3 linked regions of the Stegostoma tigrinum genome follow. The protein of the gene in region 1 purifies or fractionates together with the protein of each later gene. This does not show direct contact. Links are inferred from orthologs where the notes say so. Each region holds a gene or a part of one and is shown in the gene's direction. Other genes may lie near its edges.

Region 1 (8,009 bases):
AAAACAGGTCGAAATATGTTACTTCATTAAAAATGCATATTTTGAAAGTGAAGAACAATTTTCTGATATTAAGAATAAGTATTAATAGTTCCAATACCTTCCTCCTGGAAATAGTAAAATGAAGCAAATTTTTTTTTCCATTCACAGGATGAGGGCATTACTGGCTACACCAGCAGATATTGCCCATCCCTCATTGCCCAGAGGGCAGTCAAGGGAACCACACTGTTGTGGGTCTGGAGTCACATGTAGGCCAGGCGACATAAGGATGGCTGTTTCCTTTCCTAAAGGATATTAGTGAAGCAAATGCGTTTCTCTGACAATCAATTCATAGTCATTACTAAAAACTCTTAATTCCATATTTTGTATTGAATTCGACCATCTGTCAAAGCAGGATTCAAACCCAGGTCCACAGAGCATACTTGGATCTCTGGATTAACAGTCCAGGGATTATACAACTCGGCTGTCACCTTTCCCACTATGAAATACTTTACCTTATTATAACGTATCTAAAAGGAAGGCTACATGGCAGTGCACTGTACAATAAATACTGTTATGTAGCCTGGCTCCACAATACAAGTTGTGCTTCTAATAGCAGATAGAATGTGTTAAGTTGAAATAGTGATGTGGCTTCTGTAGTTAGTACTGAATTAACAGCACCTATGTTCATTATGCTTATAGCTGTCCAGGACATTTCTGACAGCATTTACATTATGCTATGTATTCATTAGCCAATAAAAACTGTAGTCAGTGGGCTTACAGCATGTATGAACAGGGCAAGCACTGGTAGGCCAGTATTTGGGCACAATGCCATTAGGGGTTTTATCCCACTAACACTTAAGGTATGGTGATATACTTCAAACTCACCACACTATTTCGGAATCATATGGATGTTCCTTCAACTGTTGCTGGTCAAAATATAGGAATTCACACCAAATGGCATTCTAGATCTTACTGAATGAAATGGGCTGCGGCAGTCCAAGAATGCAGCTCACTATCAGCTTCTCCAGGGCACCTAGGGATGGGTAATAAATGTTGGCCCAAAACTAGGACGCTCACATCCCAGGAATGAATTTTCAAAAATATATCTGTTTAAGTGGATTGAAGTATCCACAGACATTCAGAGCCATTGCAGCACAGAAGATATTTATTGCAAACGAAGAAATAATTACTATATTATACCTTATTGTGTGTCTGTGATGTTTAATAGCCATCATGCAATCACATTCATAATGTGAGTCTGTAGAATTCTTCACCATAAAAAAAGCTGTCAAGGCTGCACTATCAAGTATATTCAAGCCTGAGGTAGACAGATTTCTAATCATTGAGGGAAATCATGGGTTATGGGGCATGGAAGGAGAGTTCAGGATTATCAAATTAATCATGACCTTGTTGAATGGCAAAATAGATTTGATGGCTTACTTCCAATCCTATGCGTTCTGATCTTTCTCTTGATTTGTTGTTACTCAGCCATATCTTATCCATGTTACTGGTTTCTGATTTATTCCATGAGCTATAACTTGGGTTAGAACTCTGTTGCACTGCACTATACCAAAAGCCTTCCAAAGTCCATGTAATACACAGTAATTGCCTTGCCATCATCATCAACTCTCTTAAATCTTGAAAGCATCTAACAAGTTGGTTAAACAGGATTTTACCTCAGGAAATTCACATTAAATATATTTATTCAGTACATTTGCCCAAGTAAAGTCACTTAGTGTCACAGAGCATGGAAACAGACCCTTTGGTCCAAGTTATTTACGAGGACCAGACATCCCAATTCGACCTAGTCCCAACTGCTAGCATTTGGCCCATATCCCTCTAAATTCTTCCTATTTATATAACTATCCAGATGCTTTTTAAATTTTGTAATAGTACCTGCCTCTGGCAGCTCATTCCACCCTCTGCATGGAAACGTACCCCTCAGGCCTTTGTAGCTTTCCCTTTCTCACCTTAAACCTGCATCCTCCAGGTTTGGACTCCACCAACCTGGGAGAAAGACCTTTGCTATTCACTCTACCTATGCCCCTCATGATTTTATTATCCTTTATGAAAGCTTTTTCCTTCAATTATTCATTCTACAGTCTTCCCCATCAAATTGAAAGTTGCCATAGTCCCACAACACCATACACTGCTGTCTCATGAGAAAGAGGCTGGTGGTTGGTTTTACCCAAGGGTCACCCCCATCTCACACCAGATTCAAGATCAAGAATTTGCCACCATCATGGTGAAACTGAACCCATTCTGTAGCCATCATTTGGCATCACAAAGCAGCCATCTAAAGTACAGCAAAATCACCTACAGTTGTTTGGCATGTCTTCACATCATTTTTGAACATTCGTAATGTTTGCAGTTCTCAAGGCCTCTGGCACCACACATGCCTAAAGAAAACTGAAACATTATAGCAAATGCTTCTCCAAGTTCCACTCCCAGCCCGGAGTATCTTTGGGCATCACGGTGCCCTCTTGAATATAGGGAATACGTCCATCCAATACTCATTAAGGACTCATTTACAGCTTGCACAGTAAATGCAAATGATGGTAATTAAAATAGCTTGTTATTTTAAACAGCATTTAAAAAATATTATTAGCATTAAAATTACATTTTCTAAAAATACAATTAACATGTGAAAACGAGTCGTTAGTGTGTCATTTCAATTGAAAAATCTTATCTTGCTTTTTGTTATTTAGTAACATTGCAACTCTTTAGACACTAACTGTTTTCTTTCAAAAAAGGCTTCTTCAGGCTGTTGATCGCAGATGTTGTGTAACTGATTCAAAATAAAGCAGATGCAGAGAAATTGAAGCGATGCTTCATGAGGACTTCTCAAATAGAAAAACAGAGCACATGATGACAGTGACATTTTTGGCTACAATGTGTTGGAATAATACATCTAATTATAGTCAGATCATAGAATGTAATAAGGTCTTTAAAAATCTCAACAGAGTTAACTCGAAATTGATTTTTTTGTCCAAGCAGTCACAAAATAAAAGTTTTCAATATTCTTCATTATGTTAATATTAAAGAAAACAAAGTGGCTTAACATTTCAAATGTTGATGTCTTGTGCGCTATTGTATTGCTCAAGATTCAAAACAATGTGCTTTTGGAATTAGCAAATTTTCGTTGATTAGATTTTACACATTCTACTGATCAAATTTAAAAGTTATGCACTTCAATGCAGCCATCTCAAATATCTCAGTTTAGGAAGAATTATTATGCACAGCGGCTAATTAAACCAAACAGAAAGCTCTTTTTGGAGATAACTAAGTATGGAGCTGGATGAACACAGCAGGCCAAGCAGCATCTTAGCTTCTGTACTCCTAAGATGCTGCTTGGCTTACTGTGTTCATCCAGCTCCACAATTAGTTATCCCCGGATTCTCCAGCATCTGAAGTTCCCATTATCTCAGGAGCTCTTTTTGATATTGCTTCTGACACGTTAAGTATGAAAATGGGCACTGGGTATACGTTTCGCTTCTCATTAAAATTGTTTCGAAATTAACCGCTCCGATAGATACACATCTACAAACGTTGCACTATGGATTCACATAGCAAAAAAACTGACTTCAAAACATTTAAGATTGTAAATACAGACAATTAGTTGCATTATTTTAGAAATGGCCTTGACTTTTGGTGGCACAAAGAACAGCGTCGGCTCCGTTGCAAGACACACGGTGGCCTTCGCATCGAAACAAAAGCAAAAGTTAAAAATGCAATTCCCATTGATCGCCAACGACCAATACCAACTTCCTACTGCAAGTAATTACCTCTTTCTTCTCCTTAAAACACACATATATTTACAATTTCTGGGATTTACAGAAACTCACTTCGACAGCCTGCCCCAGCTCCAGGTCGAACCCGACCACGCAGATACAGTGAACCCAGGCAGCGAACCCGTCCCATGGCAGTGATGGCGACCTGTCAGGACTACACAGGTAATCCTTGTCGGGAATGACCCTCTGTAACAACGCCTCCAGATCATCACAGTCACCTGTCAGAGCTTGAAAAGCCATGTTTTCCGCTCAACACTACCCAGACCGAGGGGACGACGTTAACTCGCTTTTGGCGGCGACGTGATGATGTAACCGGCTGCGTGTTACGTCAACCAAACGCCCTGGATTTGTTTGACGGAGTTGAGGTTTCCCCAACTGCCAGTTTTTGAAATGATTTCACCCTTTATCAGATTTGTGACACACATGATGAAGCGATGGTGATACATAAAAGTGAATTTAATTAACAACAGTGAAAGAATTAATGACGGTGACAACATGCACTTGAATCTCGGTAAAATTGCCGCGATTATTCCGATTTTCCCGGCCGATTTACCCGGTACCTTTGGTTGGATCGGGTCGCTGTTCCGCCTGTCTGGCTAAATCTGGACGGCTCACGTTTCCCACCTGTTTATGTTTGGTTCATTTTCCGCGTCAATCAACCGCCCAACACACCCACCGGCTGTCTCAGCTGCCCGCCCAGCGCACACCTCAATTGGCTGTCCGCGGCCTACTGTCTTGGCCGCTATTGGTTATGTTGCTTGTCAATTAACGGCGGCCGGTGCTTCCGCTGTCAAGCTATTGCCTATGCGGTGAAGCTATGGCGGCTTCAGTGACTTGTGGGGGACGTGTTACAAGCTTGGGTTCGGTGGAGGGCAAAAGCACAGGCGAAGAATAGTTCCTATTTCGTCCCACAACAGTAACGGCTGCAGGTGTCGAACGAGCTTGTCTACTTCAGCATCAGTTGTTTATCAAAGGGGGGGGGGGGTGGCTTCCTTCAGCTGTGGATCGGGAGCTCCTTGAATCGTGGTCTTTGATCGAAAGGATTTGTTTTGATTTCGGGTCATAAGTTCACGACTTTGGACTCCGTGATCAGGATTCAGTCAGGCCTCAGGCCTAGTTGTTAACTCTGCTTCCTTTGGCTCTGACAGGACGTGCTTTTGAGAAGATAAAGTGGCGGTTCCATTTCTTTTTTTCCGCAGTAACTGTCGAGGGCCTCCCCCCCCCCCCCCCCCCCACCCCCAACACCTTGCCCACAAGAGGACTTGCGATGTGCGAGTTATTACTGTAAGACCAGCTTTTAATGTGTCCGACTCAAATTCGGCGATAACCTTGTCGGGCTAAGAGGGACAAAAAAAAGCACTAATTCTGATTGCACACCGACGATTTTATCTAAGTCAGGTGCCCGTGTCCTTAAGTGTCTGAGACTGATAAGTCTTCATTTTTTTTACCGTTGTAAAAGCTAGATGACGGTATATAAGCACCGACCTAATGGACTAATCTCAACGGACAGATCTTCAGGCAAGGACAGAAGATGCGTCGAGTTATTTCTGATTTATTGAGATGGGTGTGTTAGCGGATGAAAGATGAATCTCTCATTTTGTACAGAAAGAGCTTGCGGATGTTGTGTGTAAATATTCTCACTTATATATAAAAGCAGGTTGTTTTACATTTCTAATATATTTTGAACGGACATTGTCGCTCTGGATCAGGAAGTGGATCAAGGCGAGTTTCCCCTCTTGACTTTGACTGAGACTCGTCACCAGTCCCATATGCCTTCAGCACTAGCCATCTTCACCTGTCGGCCAAATTCGCACCCTTTTCAGGAACGCCATGTCTACCTGGACGAACCTGTCAAAATTGGTCGATCGGTGGCACGTTGCAGACCAGCCCAAAATAACGCCACATTCGATTGCAAAGTGCTTTCCAGAAACCATGCTCTCATCTGGTTCGACCACAAAACAGGCAAGGTAAGGACGAACCACCTTTTTTTTTATTTGATTAGATTGTAAATATCAATTATTCTGAACAGTCTTTCGCAGTTCTGTTGAGGGAATTTTTTGATCCCGTTCCTGTTATCGATTTAACAATTTTTCATTTTAGTTTCGTGTTAACGCTTTTATTGAGTTAAAACAAATTAAATTGTTTAATTTAAGGCTAATTATTGACTTGACTTTTTCTTTTAGTTTATCAGTTATAAAACCTGGATGTAAAACTGTCTGATCATTTTAACTACATATTGCAGCAGCGGTATTTCCAGAATCAAGTTTTTATTTTTAACATTTTACTTTCAATTTTAGTAATTGCATTTATAATTCATTTTATTGTTTGTTACAATAGTTATTGCATTTAGGTTATCTTTTATCTATTCATTCACCTTTTGAGTGCAAAGCCAAAGCAAAGCAAGTCTCTGTATAGCCTGAATGGTGACTGTGGTCCTGTTTATCTGTGTAATGGAAGTTGCATAACCTATGGCAAAAAAAACACAGTACCTTGACAGCTATGCTTTGTTGCTTTTTTTGCTTTTTACTTTTTTGTCCGTGACTCTTTGTTATCATTAATTTACAGCTTATTATATTTACAACACTCCTTCCCACCCGCCCTCGCCACCCCCCCCCCCCCCCCCCCCCCCCAACCCCTGCCAGTACCTTCTCTTGTAGCTCCTCCAGGGTCATTTTAGCACTGGGTCAGGTTCTTCCGACTCTGCTTCTGATATGGGTGACATGCAATACCCAGGAGTTTTGACTCGTACACGGAGTGTCTCTGAGGATATTCATTCTCTTCCTCAGGTGGCAAAGGTATCAAGGTGATGACATCTGCCATATCCACCTAAGATTCCAAGCTCTCCTCAGTGCATGATGGAGAGGGAGAGCCAGCCTTTCTGACAGTTCTGAAGTGCCTGAGTTGACTTGCCCCGGCCCTGTTTGCAAATTTGTGCCTTACATATGGCCCACATGCTTGTTCCAGACCATCATACCTACCTAAACTTTATACATCACTGGACTTGAGTCCTTGCGATGACCATGCCCCTTACCAATGCATGCCCATTCCTGTGATTCCTACACCAAACTATTTCCCGTCAAATAAACAGTCTGTCTCACTTAGCAGAGTCATGTATCAAGCATTGGCATTCCTGATGCCATTCCACTCACTCTCACACGCTCCCACCCCATTCCGGGAATTTCAGATTTAACCTGGCTTGGAGTCTTCTCCCTGTTAGCAACTCTGCTAGAGCTATCCCTCTAGTTCCATGAGGGATGGTCTGATTATCAAATAGAAATGGGGAAAGTTTGATATCCGGCGAAGTTGTAGGCTGTTTCTTTAATCCTGGCCTCAAAGTTTGGACTGCTGTTTCTACCAGACCATTGGATGCTGGATGGCATGTCGATTCAATTTCAGGAAATGACTCTAATTCCCTGCGAGTGAACGATGGCCATTATCTATGACCAATACTTCTGGGAGTCACTGTTATGCAAATAATGTGCACAGTCTTTCAATCATTGACCCTGTGTTTGATGAATGAATTCTAAGCATGGCCAACCACTTCGAGTGGCTACAATGACTAAGATTAGATCTTGTGAAAGAACCTGTATAGTCACCTTATAACCAAGCCCAGTGTTTACTTGGCCATCCCCATGAAGGTAGGGGAGCTGCTTAGAGTTATTTTTGTCCTTCATGGCACTCTGAACACTGCCACAGCAACACTGTTTGCATTCAATCCTGGCCACAGGACCTCTGGATGATGATTGTGTAGTTCAGCCAGTATCTGGTGGCAGTGTTTGTTCAGGATAATCACTCGAGTGCAGCATAATATTATGCTGTACTCTACTCTGACCTGATCTCTCTGGACTTGAAAAGGTTTCAGTTCTGGTTGTGATGGCCCGTTGGTTTCCCTTATTACCTTATTATGTTTTAGTTTTGCCATCACCGGATCTTTGTGTCTACAGTCTGATATTGTGAGCTGTGACTGGAAGTGTGTCCAGAAAATTTAAAACAGTTCAGAGCTCTGGCAGTAACGGTACCCTGGGCAATGTTTCTGCCAGTGGGAGGCTGTTCTTTGGAATAGAATATCCTTTATTGTCGCTGCATTTGCACCCGCATTTCTACTTAGCTTTCTGGACGGTGTTCAAACTTAGTATTAGAGCCCACTGTTGATTTCAGCCTGAAACTGAGCGGCACTGCCTTGTCCTCTTTAAGCAAGTCTAGCATGGCCCATTACTGTTACAAATTTATTTCTAAAGG
Region 2 (7,115 bases), on another chromosome or scaffold:
CCTTTAGAATTTTTACTTTTTGTGTGCCACGTCTGTGGGACTCAACAATACGCACAATTCAAACTTATGTCATGTATTTCTTTAAAACTATTTAGGTGGTGTATGACATGCTGCTTTTATGAAATATCTGAACTTTATTTCCCAATTTCACTGTTTTCTGTGTGAGATTTGTCATTAAAGTCTTGTCTTTCAAATGGATCCCTCAAAACAAAGTTAAATTCAATGTGGAGAGCAACTGATGCCATTTAGTAAATTTGATGTATATTTCCTTCTATGCAAGTGATTCTTATACTGCTTAGAATAAAACACTTTTGTCATGACCAACTAGGCATTCATTGTTTGTTTTTTTTATTTTGTGATGTTCAAGTCCCTTGCTTTCATGTGTGATTACATTTCTAGGCTGTAGTGGTGATGGAATTGGGAATGCGGAGTGCGCAAATCCCACAGTGGCAAATTAGAATTGAAACTTGTTAGTGTGCTTGAATCCTGGACGCCTAGCACTCAAACTGGAATTCCGTTAACAAACATTTAGAGCTGGACCCTCAAATACCAATCTCTACAAAGCAAATCCAGAAGTGATGCCATCCACTCCAGCAAACTGAGATACAGAAACATTAAGTGGGATAGAAAAAACTTACCAGCTCAGTGAGCAGGAATACCTCTCTCTCTTCCCCCTCTCTTTCTGTGTCTGGCTGACAGCCTATGCAATGTGAATGTGGCATTTTAAAAACTCCTACTTTAGAAATTAAACCAGTTTGACTCCAAACTAAAACACTGATTCTAATCAAGGTTTCACACCTGACACGCTTTAAAATGTCACTGCCTCTTTACGCTGATAAAACCTTTGGTCCTTTCAGCATAATCCAATTATCACCTTTCAAGTCATTATCTTGTTCCTTTTTTTGAAGTCTCTCCTCTGACGCTTCATTGGAGGTGCTCACAGAGGACATTTTTTGTTTCCCAGTGAATTTCATTCTTAAATGTTACATTTGTAAGTTAAGACTGGCTGTAGTTTTTGCCTGAAAAAACGACTTGTCTAAAAGTTCAATATATCCATAAGTAATTCAGCTTTCTGATCCATTGTCATGAAACCACACATACACCTACTTGTCAATGTCCTATTTAAATCTTAAACTGACCCCTTGACAGATCTAAGTTTTATACCATTTGCAAATTTTGAAATTGTGCCTGTACATCAAATTCTGGGTGATTAATATATATCAGGAAGAGACAAACTATTTCTTCTGATGAGTTGGAGCCTAGAATAAGAGAAGATGATTTGGTTCAAAATGTCATTGTCCATTGTGAATATAAGCTTTTCCCTGCTTTAGCTCATTTCTCTGGAATTGAGTAGATTAATATTTTCTATATGTATGTGTGATGCATCATCTACCTTAAGTTCATGAATGGCCAAAAATATTCTCTCTGACCTATTCACACAAGTCAATTTATGATTGCATAATGCTTTGTAAATTATTTTATACTTTTCTGGAAGATAAATCATTATATTACATAGTCTTTTAAGCACCTTAGCATTATCCAATCAGACTGATAAGATAGCAAATTCCTAATCTTTTGGATTATAACTGCATTGATGGATATTATACTTTTGGTAACAGGACGAGGGGGATCTAGACATATACCAAAGGCCAATGTACCACAAAGCAATGCAACTGAGGTCTCCCTATCCGAAAGCTTGAATGAAACAAATTCAGTGGTTGCTTTTGGAAAATAATTGGATAAAAAGTTGAGAGAGGGAGTAACTAGGACAATGAGGGCGAGAGCAGGAAGTGATGCAATTCAAAAATACAGTATAAATAAGATGATCTGAGTGGCTACTTTCTGAGACTTTTTTCTGACTTTTGCAAAGTGAGAATCGACTAAAATTCCAGATTTTGGACAGGTCAGAACAGTTCTCCACTTAGAGAAGAATTTGATAAAGATGTTCAGTCATGAGGGTTTGGAGTAGACAGGGATAAATTGTTGACGCTTGCATAGATAATTGACCAAAGAAGTAGTAGTGACAAGAAGAAAAAAATTCCACACTGTGGATGGAATGCGCTGTTTCACATTTTTTGGTGACAGGTGTCAGTTCAGTGGAAACACTTAGGAGGGATCATTGACTGAAAAGGAAAAATGTACAGGGCTGCAGGAATTTGTAAAGAGATGGTACTCTTTGGGGAATTGATCCTTAATGGGGAAGACTATATGAGTCAAATGAACGTAAAATACTGCAGATGCTGGAACTCTGAAATAAAAACAAAGTGATGGAGAAACTCAGCAGCATCTGTGGAGTAAGAAATAGAATTAACGTTCTGAGTGCAGTAATGGCCAAATGCTGTTGGTCCCATTCTATTGATAACAAGGTGTGGAGCCGGATGAACACAGCAGGCCAAGCAGCATCTCAGGAGCAGGAAAGCTTTCCTGCTCTTGAGATGCTGCTTGGCCTGTTGTGTTCATCTGGCTCCACACCTTGTTATCTCGGATTCTCCAGCATCTGCAGTTCGTATCATCTCCAGTCCATTCTATAATTCGTTGTTGAGGTGCAGTGCTGGAAGAGGGATGTGGTCAATGCACCGACACGGACTGAGGCCAGAGCAATGCACGATGGTAGACAAATAGAGGAAAAGGCCATTCGGTCCAACCACTTGATGCTGGTGTATCTGCTGCATCCGTATGGGAATGAAAACAATGGAGGAGAACTGAAACAAAGAAACCTACAGCACAGGAACAGGCCCTTTGGCCCTCCAAGCCTGTGCCGATCAAGATCCTCTGTCTAGCCTGTCATCTATTTTCTAACGGTCTGTGTCCATTTGCTCCCTGCCCATCCATGTACCTGTCCAAATATATCTTAAAAGACGCTAACGTGTCTGCGACTACCACCTCCGCTGGCAAAGTGTTCCAGGCGCCCATCACCCTCTGTGTAAAGAACTTTCCACGCATATCTCCCCGAAACTTTCCTCCCCTCAATTTGAACTCATGACCCCTAGTAATGCAGTCCCCCACTCTGGGAAAAAGCTTCTTGCTATCCACCCTGTCCATACTCCTCATGATTTTGTAGACCTCAATCAGGTCCCCCTCAATCTCCGTCCTTCTAATGAAAATAATCCTAATCTATTCAACCTCTCTTCATAGCTAGCACCCTCCATACCAGGCAACATCCTGGTGCACCTCCTCTGCACCCTCTCCAAAGCATCCACATCCTTTTGGTAATGTGGCGACCAGAACTGTACACAGTATTCCAAATGTGGTCGAACCAAAGTCCTATACAACTGCAACGTGACCTGCCAACTGTTGTACTTAATACCCCGTCCAATGAAGGAAAGCATGCCATATGCCTTCTTGACCACCCTGTTGACCTGCGTTGTCACCTTCAGGAAACAATGGACCTGAACACCCAGATCTCTCTGTTCATCAATTATCCCCAGGACTTTTCCATTTACTGTATAGTTCGCCCTTGAATTTGATCTTCCAAAATGCATCACCTCGCATTTGCCCGGATTGAACTCCCATCTGCCATTTATCTGCCCAACTCTCCAGTCTATCTATATTCTGCTGTAATCTCTGACAGTCCCCTTCACGATCTGCTACTCCACCAATCTTAGTGTCATCAGCAAACCTGCTGATCAGACCACCTACACCTTCCTCCAAATCATTTACATATATCACAAACAACAGTGGTGCCAGCACAGATCCCTGTGGAACACCACTGGTCACAGGCCTCCAATTTGAGAAACTCCCTTCTACTACTACCCTCTGTCTCCTGTTGCCCAGCCAGTTTTTTATCCATCTAACTAGCACACCCTGGACCCCATGTGACTTCACTTTCTCCATCAGCCTGCCATGAAGCTGAAAGGGTGGGTGCAATCAATAGAAAGAGAAAGTTAAGGGAAAGAAAAGAACAAAATCTGGTTGCGAACTTTACTGCCATGCACTTCCATCCCGTTGCAATTGCAGAGCCAACTATATTTCCGCCCCACACGATGGAAGGAACCACTTCCGCCCCGCTAGTGGCGTCTGTCGCAACGTCCGCCCCCACTGGACGTGGATCGACGTAGCTTCCGCCCCGCAAATGCGTCACTTGGAGAGTTTCCGGGAAGGGGATTTCCGGCTCGAGGCGGAAGTGAACAGTATAGGAGCGGTGAGACATGGAGGAGGTCCAGCGGAGGCATCCGCGGCGGTAAGAACCCAAAGAGGGAGAGCGGGAGGAGGATGTTCGGGATGCTGGGGAATGGGTACGGGAAAAATGGCGAGAGGAGCGAGGGCTGTGGTTGTCAGGGCAGAAATAACCCCCTTGAGGGCCGTCAATTTCGTTCCCCCGACTTAAGGACAACTACCCTGCTCCCCTCCGACTTCTTTCCCCACCCCCCCATTCCCCCCCCTTCTTTTCCTCCCCCTCCTCTTCCCCCCCCATCTCTTCTCCCCCCCCCACCCCCACTCCCCCCCCCACCCCCACTCCCCCCCCCCCACCCCCACTCCCCTCCCCCACCCCCACTCCCCCCCCCCACCCCCACTCCCCCCCCCACCCCCACCCCCACTCCCCCCCCCCACCCCCACCCCCACTCCCCCCCCCACCCCCACTCCCCCCCCCACTCCCCCCCCCACCCCCACTTCCCCCCCACTCCCCCCCCCACCCCCACTTCCCCCCCCACCCCCACTTCCCCCCCCACCCCCACTTCCCCCCCCACCCCCACTTCCCCCCCCACCCCCACTTCCCCCCCCCCACCCCACCCCCACTTCCCCCCCCCCCACCCCACCCCCACTTCCCACCCCCACTTCCCACCCCCACTTCCCACCCCCACTTCCCCCCCCCACCCCCCCACCCCACCCCCACTTCCCCCCCACTTCCCCCCCCACCCCACCCCCACTTCCCCCCCCACCCCACCCCCACTTCCCCCCCCACCCCACCCCCACTTCCCCCTCTTCCCCCCCACCCCCTCTTCCCCCCCCACCCCCTCTTCCCCCCCACCCCCTCTTCCCCCCCCACCCCCTCTTCCCCCCCCAACCCCCTCTTCCCCCACCCCCTCTTCCCCCCCCACCCCCTCTCTCCCCCCCACCCCCTCTTCCCCCCCCCACCCCCCCACTCCCCCCCACCCCCCCACTCCCCCACTCCCCCCCCCACCCCCCCCACTCCCACCCCCACCCCCCCACTCCCACCCCCACCCCCCCACTCCCACCCCCACCCCCCCACTCCCACCCCCACTCCCCCCACTCCCACCCCCACTCCCCCCCACTCCCACCCCCACTCCCCCCACTCCCCCCCCCACTCCCCCCCTCCCCCCCCACCCCCACTCCCCCCCCCACTCCCCCCCCCACTCCCCCCCCCACTCCCCCCCCCACTCCCCCCCCCCCCCACTCCCCCCCCCACTCCCCCCCCCACTCCCCCCCCCCCCACTCTCCCCCCCCACTCCTCCCCCCCCACTCTCCCCCCCCACTCTCCCCCCCCCCACTCCCCCCCCCCCCACTCCCCCCCCCACTCTCCCCCCCCACTCCCCCCCCACCCCCACTCTCCCCCCCCCACTCCCCCCCCCACTCCCCCCCCCCACTCCCCCCCCCACTCCCCCCCCCACCCCCACTCCCCACTCCCCCCCCCCACTTCCCCCCCCACCCCCACTCCCCCCCCCACCCCCACTTCCCCCCCCCCACCCCCCACTCCCCCCCCCACCCCCACTCCCCCCCCCCACCCCCACTTCCCCCCCCACTTCCCCCCCCACTTCCCCCCCCCACTTCCCCCCCCACCCCCACCCCCCACTTCCCCCCCCACCCCCACCCCCACTACCCCCCAACTCCCACCCCACCCCCCCCACTTCCCCCCCCCACCCCCCACCACTTCCCCCCCACCCCCACTTCCCCCCCACCCCCACTCCCCCCCCCACCCCCACTCCACCCCCACTCCCCCCCCCACCCCCACTCCACCCCACTCCCCCCCCCACCCCCACTCCCCCCCCCACCCCCACCCCCACCCCCCACCCCCCACTCCCCCCCCCCACCCCCACTTCCCCCCCCACTTCCCCCCCCACTTCCCCCCCCACCACTTCCCCCCCACTTCCCCCCCCCACTTCCCCCCCACTTCCCCCCCACTTCCCCCCCCACTTCCCCCCCCCCACTTCCCCCCCCCACTTCCCCCCCACTTCCCCCCCCCACTTCCCCCCCCCACTTCCCCCCCCCACTTCCCCCCCCCACTTCCCCCCCCACTTCCCCCCCCACTTCCCCCCCCCCACTTCCCCCCCCACTTCCCCCCCCACTTCTCCCCCCACCCCCACTCCCCCCCCACCCCCACTCCCCCCCCACCCCCACTCCCCCCCCACCCCCACTTCCCCCCTCACTCCCACTTCCCCCCCCACTTCCCCCCCCACCCCCCACCCCCCCAACCCCCACTTCCCCCCCAACCCCCACTTCCCCCCCAACCCCCACTTCCCCCCCCACCCCCACTTCCCCCCCACTTCCCCCCCCCACCCCCACTCCCCCCCCACTCCCCCCCCCACTTCCCCCCCCCACTTCCCCCCCCACTTCCCCCCCCACTTCCCCCCCCACTTCCCCCCCCCACTTCCCCCCCCACTTCCCCCCCCACTTCTCCCCCCCACTTCTCCCCCCCACTTCTCCCCCCCACTTTCCCCCCCCCACCCCCACTTCCCCCCCCCCCCACTTTTCCCCCCCCCACCCCCACTTCCCCCCCCCACCCCCACTTCCCCCCCCACCCCCACTTCCCCCCCCACCCCCACTTCCCCCCCCACCCCCACCTCCCCCCCCACCCCCACTTCCCCCCCCCCACCCCCACTTCCCCCCCCCACCCCTACTCCCCCCCCACCCCTACTCCCCCCCCCCCACCCCCACTTCCCCCCCCACCCCCACTTCCCCCCCCACCCCCACTCCCCCCCCACTCCCCCCCCCCACTCCCCCCCCCACTCCCCCCCCCCACTTCCCCCCCCACTCCCCCCCCCCACTCCCCCCCCCCCACTCCCCCCCCCACTTCCCCCCCCCACTTCCCCCCCCCCACTCCCCCCCCACTCCCCCCCCCACTCCCCCCCCCACTCCCCCCCCCACTCCCCCCCCACTCCCCCCCCCCACTCCCCCCCCACTCCCCCCCCCCACTTCCCCCCCCACTTCCCCCCCCA
Region 3 (7,064 bases), on another chromosome or scaffold:
AGAGAACTGTGCACCTCAGCTCCAAGGTCCCTCTCTTCCACTAAACACTTTAAGGCCCGACCATTCACCATGAAACTCCTACCTTGATTTGACTTTCCAAATGCCGCACCCTCACACTTATTTATATTAAACTCCATTTGCCATTTATCGGCTAACTTCCCCAGCTGATCAAGATCCTGCTGCAATTACTGAATACCTTCCTCACTGTCCACAATACCACCTATTTCAGTGTCATACGCAAACTTAAGAATTATGCCTTGTACATTTTCATCCAAATCATTGATATGGGCAACAAACAGAAATGGGCCCAGCACTGACTCCTGAGGCACAAGCCTCCAGTCAGACAAGCATCCTTCCACTATTATCCTCTGTTTCCTACCATCAAGCCACTTGTCTATCCAAATTGCCAGCTCTCCCTGGATTTAATGTGATCTAACCTTCCAGAGCAGCCTACCATGTGGAACCTTATCAAAGGCCTTACTGAAATCCATGTAGACTACATCTACTACCCCGCCCTCATCAGCTTCCTGGTCACTTCATCAAAGAACTCTAACATATTTTGTGAGGCTTGAACTCCCATGCACAAAGCCATGCTGACTACTCCTAATCAAACCTGTCTTTCTAAATGTATGTATGTCTTATCCCTCAGAATCTTCTCCGGTAACTTACCTACCACAGACGTTAAGCTTATTTATCTACAATTCCCAGGTTATTCTTTACAGCTCTTTGTGAATAAAGGCACAACATTCACTACCCTCCAGTCTTGTGGGTCCTCACTTATGGCTAATAATGATGCAACTATATCAGCCAGGGATCCCGCAATTCCTTCCCTAGCCTTTTGCAGGGTTCTTGGACATATCTGGTCAGGACCAGGAGATTTATCCACCTTTGTATATTCTAGTACTTCCAAAGCCTCCTGTACTGTGATATAGATTGTCCCAAATATATCACCACTAACCTCCCCAAGTTCCCTAGTCTTCATGTTCTTTCTCCACGGTAAACACAGAGGAGAAATATTCATTTAGGACCTCACCCATCCCCTGTGGTTCCACACACACACATGTCCACTTTGGTCCTTGAGGGGTCTTATTCTCTCTCTAGTTATTCCTCTTTTTTTATATACTTAAAGAATGTCTTTGGATTCACCCTAACCTTCTCAGCCAAAGCTGTCTCCCCTTTTCACCCTCCTGATTTCCTCCTTCAGTAAATTCCTGAATCCCCACTATACCTTCAGGGATCCCTTTGATCCCAGCTGCCTTTACCTGAGTCATGCCTCCTTTTCTTTCTGGTAAAAGCTCAATATCTCTTGTCATCCAGAGTTCCCTATTCCTGCCAACCTTGCCCGTCACCCTCACAGGAGCTTATAGACCTAAAACTCTACCTATCACACTTTTCAAGGCCTCCCACTCGCCAGAGATCCCTTTACCTGTAAACAAACTATTCTAATCAACCCCTGCAAGCTCCTGTCTCTTTCCATCAAAATTCACCTTGCTCCAATTTAGAATTTGAACCTGTGGGCCAGTTTTGCCCTTCTCCATAACTATTTAAAAGTAACAGAACTATGGTCACTGGAGAAGAGTGTACATGCTGGAACGTTGTTGAACTCTGTGTTGAGCTCTGGCGGCTGTAAAGTGCCTCAGAGGAAAACCAGGTGCTGCGTCTCCACTTGCGTTGAGCTTTGCTGTAACGCTGCAGCAGGTCTAGGATGGAAATGTTGGCAAGAGAGCAAGATAATGGCATTGAAACAACAAGCAACAAGAAGGTTCTTCCTATCGACAGATTGGAATGGTTCCATAGAGTGATCATCCAGTCTACACTTTGTCTCACCAGTGTAAAGGAGACTGCATTGTGAGCAGTGAATACAATACACTAGATAGTACACTACAATACACTGCTTCACCTGGAGCAGGTACGTTTGGACAGTAAGGAAGTGCTTGGACTGTTATAGAGAGAATTGTTCCTGTGGAATGCTGACATTGGAGGGAAGGGGAAGATGTGTTGGTGGTAACATCCTGCTGGAGGTGGCAGAAGAGCCAATGAAGGATCCTTTGGATGTGCACACTGGTGGGGAGTGAGGACAAAGGGAATCCTATCATTGTTGATGGAAAAATGGGAGAGACAGATTGCACATGGTTCAGGGGTCTGTCAGCTACAATGAGGGTGGGGAGGGAGGAATTCCTTAAAGGGCAGAATTTCTCAGTTGACACAAAAGGATATCATGTTGGATACCACAAGGTGGAATCTGGCATCGTTGGAAAAGATGCAAAAGGAGATGGAGATGCTGGGAAAATGGAATGGAGTCCTTGCAGGACATAAGATTTGCAGATGTGTAGCCACGGTAACTGGGATTGTAATGGATATTGGTGGACAGCCTATCCCCAGAAATGGAAGCATGGGAATTAAGGGCAGGGAAAGAAGAGTCAAAATAGACCAGATGAAGGTGAGACCAGGTTGGAAATGGGAAGCAAAGCTAATTAATTTTTCTGATTCCAGACCAGTGTCAGCACTAATGATGTCATTGGGAGGGTTCCTGATTAGGACTGAAGGAATGTTGCTCAAATTGCAAAGAGATAGGCACAACTGGGCCCAATGCAGGTCCTCATAGCCACTCCTTTGACTGAGAGAAAATTGAACAAGTTAAAGGGGTTGTTCAGACTTAAAATGAGCTCAGTCAGGTGCTGGAGGATAGGAATCATTCAGCCCTCTTTTCAAGGAAGTAGTAGACAACTGCCAGAACATCCTGATGGGGATAGCTGTGTGTAAGGATTATACACCCATGGTGAAGAGGTGTTGTCTGCGGCCAGGAAACTGGAAATTATAATAGAACATAATGTTAGAGGAATCATAAATGTAAGTGGGAAGAGCGTGAACAACTGGTCAGAGTGGGGGCAAGGCAAATAGTGTGTGTAAAGGCAAGCAAGAGTATTGGTGATATATTGGTGCACAGTCAAACAAAAAAAAACACGATCACTAAATCAGAATTCTTAAAAGGATCACAAAGGTCTTCCACACGTAGCATTTTTTATGATGTAGAGGTTGGTGTTCAACTGGGGTGGACAAAGTCAGAATTCAGATGCCACCAGTTTATAGTCCAACAGGTTTATTTGAAATCACAAACTTTTAGTGCACTGCTCCTCTGTCAGGGCTTCACCTGACAAAGGCACCTCAAGCCCCACCCCCATCCCCTACCTACTAACCTCATCCCGCACCCCCGCCGACATATCCGTCCTCCCTGGACTGACCTATCCCATCCCTAACTCCTCACCTACATTCACATTCACTGGCTCTAACCCTGCCTCTTAGACCTGTCTGTCTCCTCTCCACCGATCTTCCCCTCTATCCATCTTCTCTCCGCCTCCCCCCGTCTCCCTATTTATTTCAGAAACCCCCTTCCCCTCCCCCATTTCTGAAGAAGGGTCCCGACCCAAAACGTCAAGCTTTCCTGCTCCTTTGATCCAGCTCTACACCGTGTTGTATCAGATACTCCACCATCGGCAGTTCCTGCTATCTCTACAATTGGAAAGCCTGGGATTTCGAATAAACCTGTTGGACTATAACCTGGTGTCGTCTGACCTCAGAGTTTTTTTACGACACAGAAGAAGGCCCTTCAGCCCATCATGTGTGCATGGTCATCAAACATCTGTCTATTCGAATCAATGTGAGAAATCACTTTTCTTGAGAAAGATAATTGAGGGATCAGTGTGAGAGGCTGAAACACTCCTGACATGGGCATTCCTGTCTGTCAGTCATTTTCCAAGCTAACAGTTCCCCCAAAATGACAAACAGCCACATGTCTGGTGACTAACCCAATGGGTTCCGGTTGGATTTCCCACTGGTTTTGCCACATGGTTTGGCCACATGGTTGTTCCTGTTTGACACATTTGCACCTGAATGTTGCAAATGCGTTTTCCTTTGGACAGCGCCGCCTGTAGCCTGGAGGTGAAATCCGTGGAGCATCAGGCATGCGCACTGCAGCGAACTACAATCCCCTGCGTGCACCGCGCGGCGCGCCGGGGTTGCGCACGCGCGGTTCCGCCCCTGGGTTGTTGGGGCATTTCCGGTTCCGGCCTTTGACCGCCGAGAGGTTCATGGAAACGGCGGCAGCAGCAACGGTTCTGAGTCGGTGAGATATGGAGCGGGAAGGAGCCGCGAGGGGTCTCCAAGGCTGCGGCGCAGGGAGTCGATAGGGTCCTGACCTCCCAGGGACAACCCACCATCCGCCCCCACCCCACCCACCCCCCCCACCCCACCCACCCCCCCCACCCCCCCCACCCCCCCCCACCCCCCCCACCCCACCCACCCCCCCCACCCCCCCCATCCACTCCCCCCCCCCACCTCCCCCGTCCACCCCCCCACCTCCCCCCACCCACTTCTCCCCCCCACCCACCCACCTCCCCCACCCCCCCTCCCACCTCCCCCACCCCCACTCCCACCTCCCCCACCCCCACTCCCACCTCCCCCACCCCCACCCCCACTCCCACCTCCCCCTCCCCCACCCCCACTCCCCCCTCCCCCACCTCCCCCTCCCCCACCCCCACTCCCCCCTCCCCCACCCCCACTCCCCCCTCCCCCACCCCCACCCCCACTCCCCCCTCCCCCACCCCCACTCCCCCCTCCCCCACTCCCCCCCCACTCCCACCTCCCCCTCCCCCACCCCCACTCCCCCCTCCCCCACCCCCACTCCCCCCCCACTCCCCCTCCCCCCCACCCCCACTCCCCCCCCACTCCCCCTCCCCCCCACTCCCCCCCCCCACTCCCCCTCCCCCCCCACTCCCCCCCACCCCCACTCCCCCCCCACTCCCCCCCACCCCCACCCCCACTCCCCCCCACCCCCACCCCCACTCCCCCCCCACCCCCACTCCCCCCCCACCCCCACTCCCCCCCCACCCCCACTCCCCCCCACTCCCCCCCCCACCCCCACTCCCCCCCCCACCCCCCACTCCCCCCCCCCACCCCCACTCCCCCCCCACCCCCACTCCCCCCCCACCCCCACTCCCCCCCCCACCCCCACTCCCCCCCCCACCCCCCACTCCCCCCCCCCACCCCCACCCCCCTCCCCACCCCCCTCCTCCCCCCCACCCCCCTCCTCCCCCCCCTCCTCCCCCCCACCCCCCTCCCCACCCCCCTCCTCCCCCCCACCCCCCTCCCCACCCCCCTCCCCACCCCCCTCCCCCCCACCCCCTCCCCCCCACCCCCTCCCCACCCACCTCCCCCCCACCCCCTCCCCACCCACCCCCCTCCCCCCCACCCCCTCCCCCCCCTCCCCTCCCCCCCCTCCCCTCCCCCCCCCCCCTCCCCCCCCACCCCACCCCTCTCCCCCCACCCCCCCACCCCACCCCCCCACCCCACCCCTCTCCCCCCACCCCTCTCCCCCCACCCCTCTCCCCCCACCCCTCTCCCCCCACCCCTCTCCCCCCACCCCTCTCCCCCCACCCCTCTCCCCCCACCCCTCTCCCCCCACCCCTCTCCCCCCACCCCACCCCTCTCCCCCCACCCCTCTCCCCCCACCCCTCTCCCCCCATCCCTCTCCCCCCATCCCTCTCTCACTACCACCTTCCCCTTGCACCCTCCCTCACTCTCCTCCTCCAGCTTCCATGTTGTAGCAGTTTCCATACTTCTGTGAGACCCCTCCCCAATACATAGTGACTGTCTGCCTTGTTTTCCTTTGCCTGGGTTCAGTGCCGTGTCAGATTGGCTTACAACGGGCTTATGTTGTGTTTGCACCTGAATTGCTTGTTATTATTTATAACTCGACAACACAGAAGTAAAACTTTGATCCTGTGTGTGTAGGTGTGAATGGGGAGTAAGGTTCTTGCGACCCCAAGACATCTAATTTGCCGTCAAAAACAGCCTAGTTATAAATGCAACAACAGAAAAATGCTGCAGATGCTGGAAACCTGAAGTAAATACAGAAATTAGTGAAAATACTCAGCTGCTGGCTGTATTCGGGGAGATCAGAACATAGTTGGTGCTTCAGGTCTGTGATTTTTCATTTGATGTTACAAAGCAGTCTGTGAGCCAAAGTTTCTTTGTAATTTCAGTAACAACACAGAATATGCCTTAGCTATTGAAATGACAACCCAGTTTATCTGAAACACTGGCTAATTAGGCTGGTAATTAGTGTGATTAAAACACAAGAGAATTTCTGCAGCTGTCAAAGTCTAGTCTTTGAAGGATGTCTTTTTGTAAAGTCATTCTCTGAAGCATTTGACAGATTTGTTTTTGTCATGGCATTTTCTGTTTTTCCTGCTATCAGCAGGGCTTAATTGTTCGGACCCTTACCTACAGTCTGGTGGGTTTACCGATGGCCTAAACTGACTGCTCCAGTGCGGCACTGAGACAGAGCTGTGTTGTCTTCAGTGAGGATCCTTTTAAGGGTGCAATAGTCTTTAAAGATCCTATTTAAGACCAGTGTTTCAAACACAAATAACTTTCCTGAAATGGAACAGTGCTCCCAGATGTGGTTAATGGTGTCTTGCATTGTACAAGTTTGGTTCCTACCTTGCCAGCACAACCCCTAGTGGTAAATGAAGATTTGCAGCGGTCTGGGAGAGCACGGAGCTTGATGAGCAGCCATTCTGATGAGTTGTGCAACAGGATTGAATGTTTTCTGTCTGCTGCAGGATGGTACACCAATACAATCTGTTTCGTGTTCTGTGAGCCGTGTACTCTGGCACCCAGTAAAACAGACAGCAAGGTCTGCGGATGCCGGAATCAGAATCAATAGTGTGGAGCTGAAGGAACACAGCGGGTCAGGCTGACTCCAGGAATCAGGACCGATGATGGGTCTAGGCCCGAAACATCGACTCTCCTGCTCCTCTGATGCTGCTGACCTGCTGTGTTCCACCATCTTCACTCTGTGTCGACCCAGAAAAACAGTCTTTCCTTTTACAGAAATGAGTTGTACTATAGAGAAGGTTCTGGCTGATGCAAAAGCGCTGGTGGAACGATTGAAAGAACATGACAGTGCAGCAGAAGCTCTCATTGAACAGACCACTGCACTGAACAAGCGAGTGGAGGCCATGAAGCAGGTGAGTGATATACAACAATTATTCTGCAATCAT

What was found. The genes of interacting proteins can lie anywhere in the genome.
Region 2: the proteins of slmapa (region 1) and serine/threonine-protein kinase 3/4 purify together in Homo sapiens (co-immunoprecipitation; 3 studies listed by BioGRID and IntAct, with this or other methods). This does not show direct contact. The link is inferred for Stegostoma tigrinum from reciprocal best matches to the Homo sapiens genes SLMAP and STK4.
Region 3: the proteins of slmapa (region 1) and fgfr1op2 purify together in Homo sapiens (affinity purification with mass spectrometry; 3 studies listed by BioGRID and IntAct, with this or other methods). This does not show direct contact. The link is inferred for Stegostoma tigrinum from reciprocal best matches to the Homo sapiens genes SLMAP and FGFR1OP2.

Annotation. Positions count from the first base shown.
Region 1 is NC_081364.1:53,148,550-53,156,558, reverse strand, and holds the start of slmapa (sarcolemma associated protein a), read left to right. Parts: upstream 1-4,995; 5' UTR 4,996-5,539; coding exon 5,540-5,737; intron 5,738-8,009. Other genes in the region: transmembrane protein 169-like, read left to right, coding at 2,733-2,767; dennd6aa (DENN/MADD domain containing 6Aa), read right to left, coding at 3,825-4,010. UniProt on the Homo sapiens protein: Associates with the striatin-interacting phosphatase and kinase (STRIPAK) core complex, forming the extended (SIKE1:SLMAP)STRIPAK complex.
Region 2 is NC_081372.1:9,270,751-9,277,865, reverse strand, and holds the start of serine/threonine-protein kinase 3/4, read left to right. Parts: upstream 1-4,100; 5' UTR 4,101-4,148; coding exon 4,149-4,180; intron 4,181-7,115. UniProt on the Homo sapiens protein: Stress-activated, pro-apoptotic kinase which, following caspase-cleavage, enters the nucleus and induces chromatin condensation followed by internucleosomal DNA fragmentation.
Region 3 is NC_081371.1:59,158,085-59,165,148, forward strand, and holds the start of fgfr1op2 (FGFR1 oncogene partner 2 homolog), read left to right. Parts: upstream 1-4,049; 5' UTR 4,050-4,123; intron 4,124-5,790; 5' UTR 5,791-5,977; intron 5,978-6,894; 5' UTR 6,895-6,896; coding exon 6,897-7,031; intron 7,032-7,064. UniProt on the Homo sapiens protein: May be involved in wound healing pathway.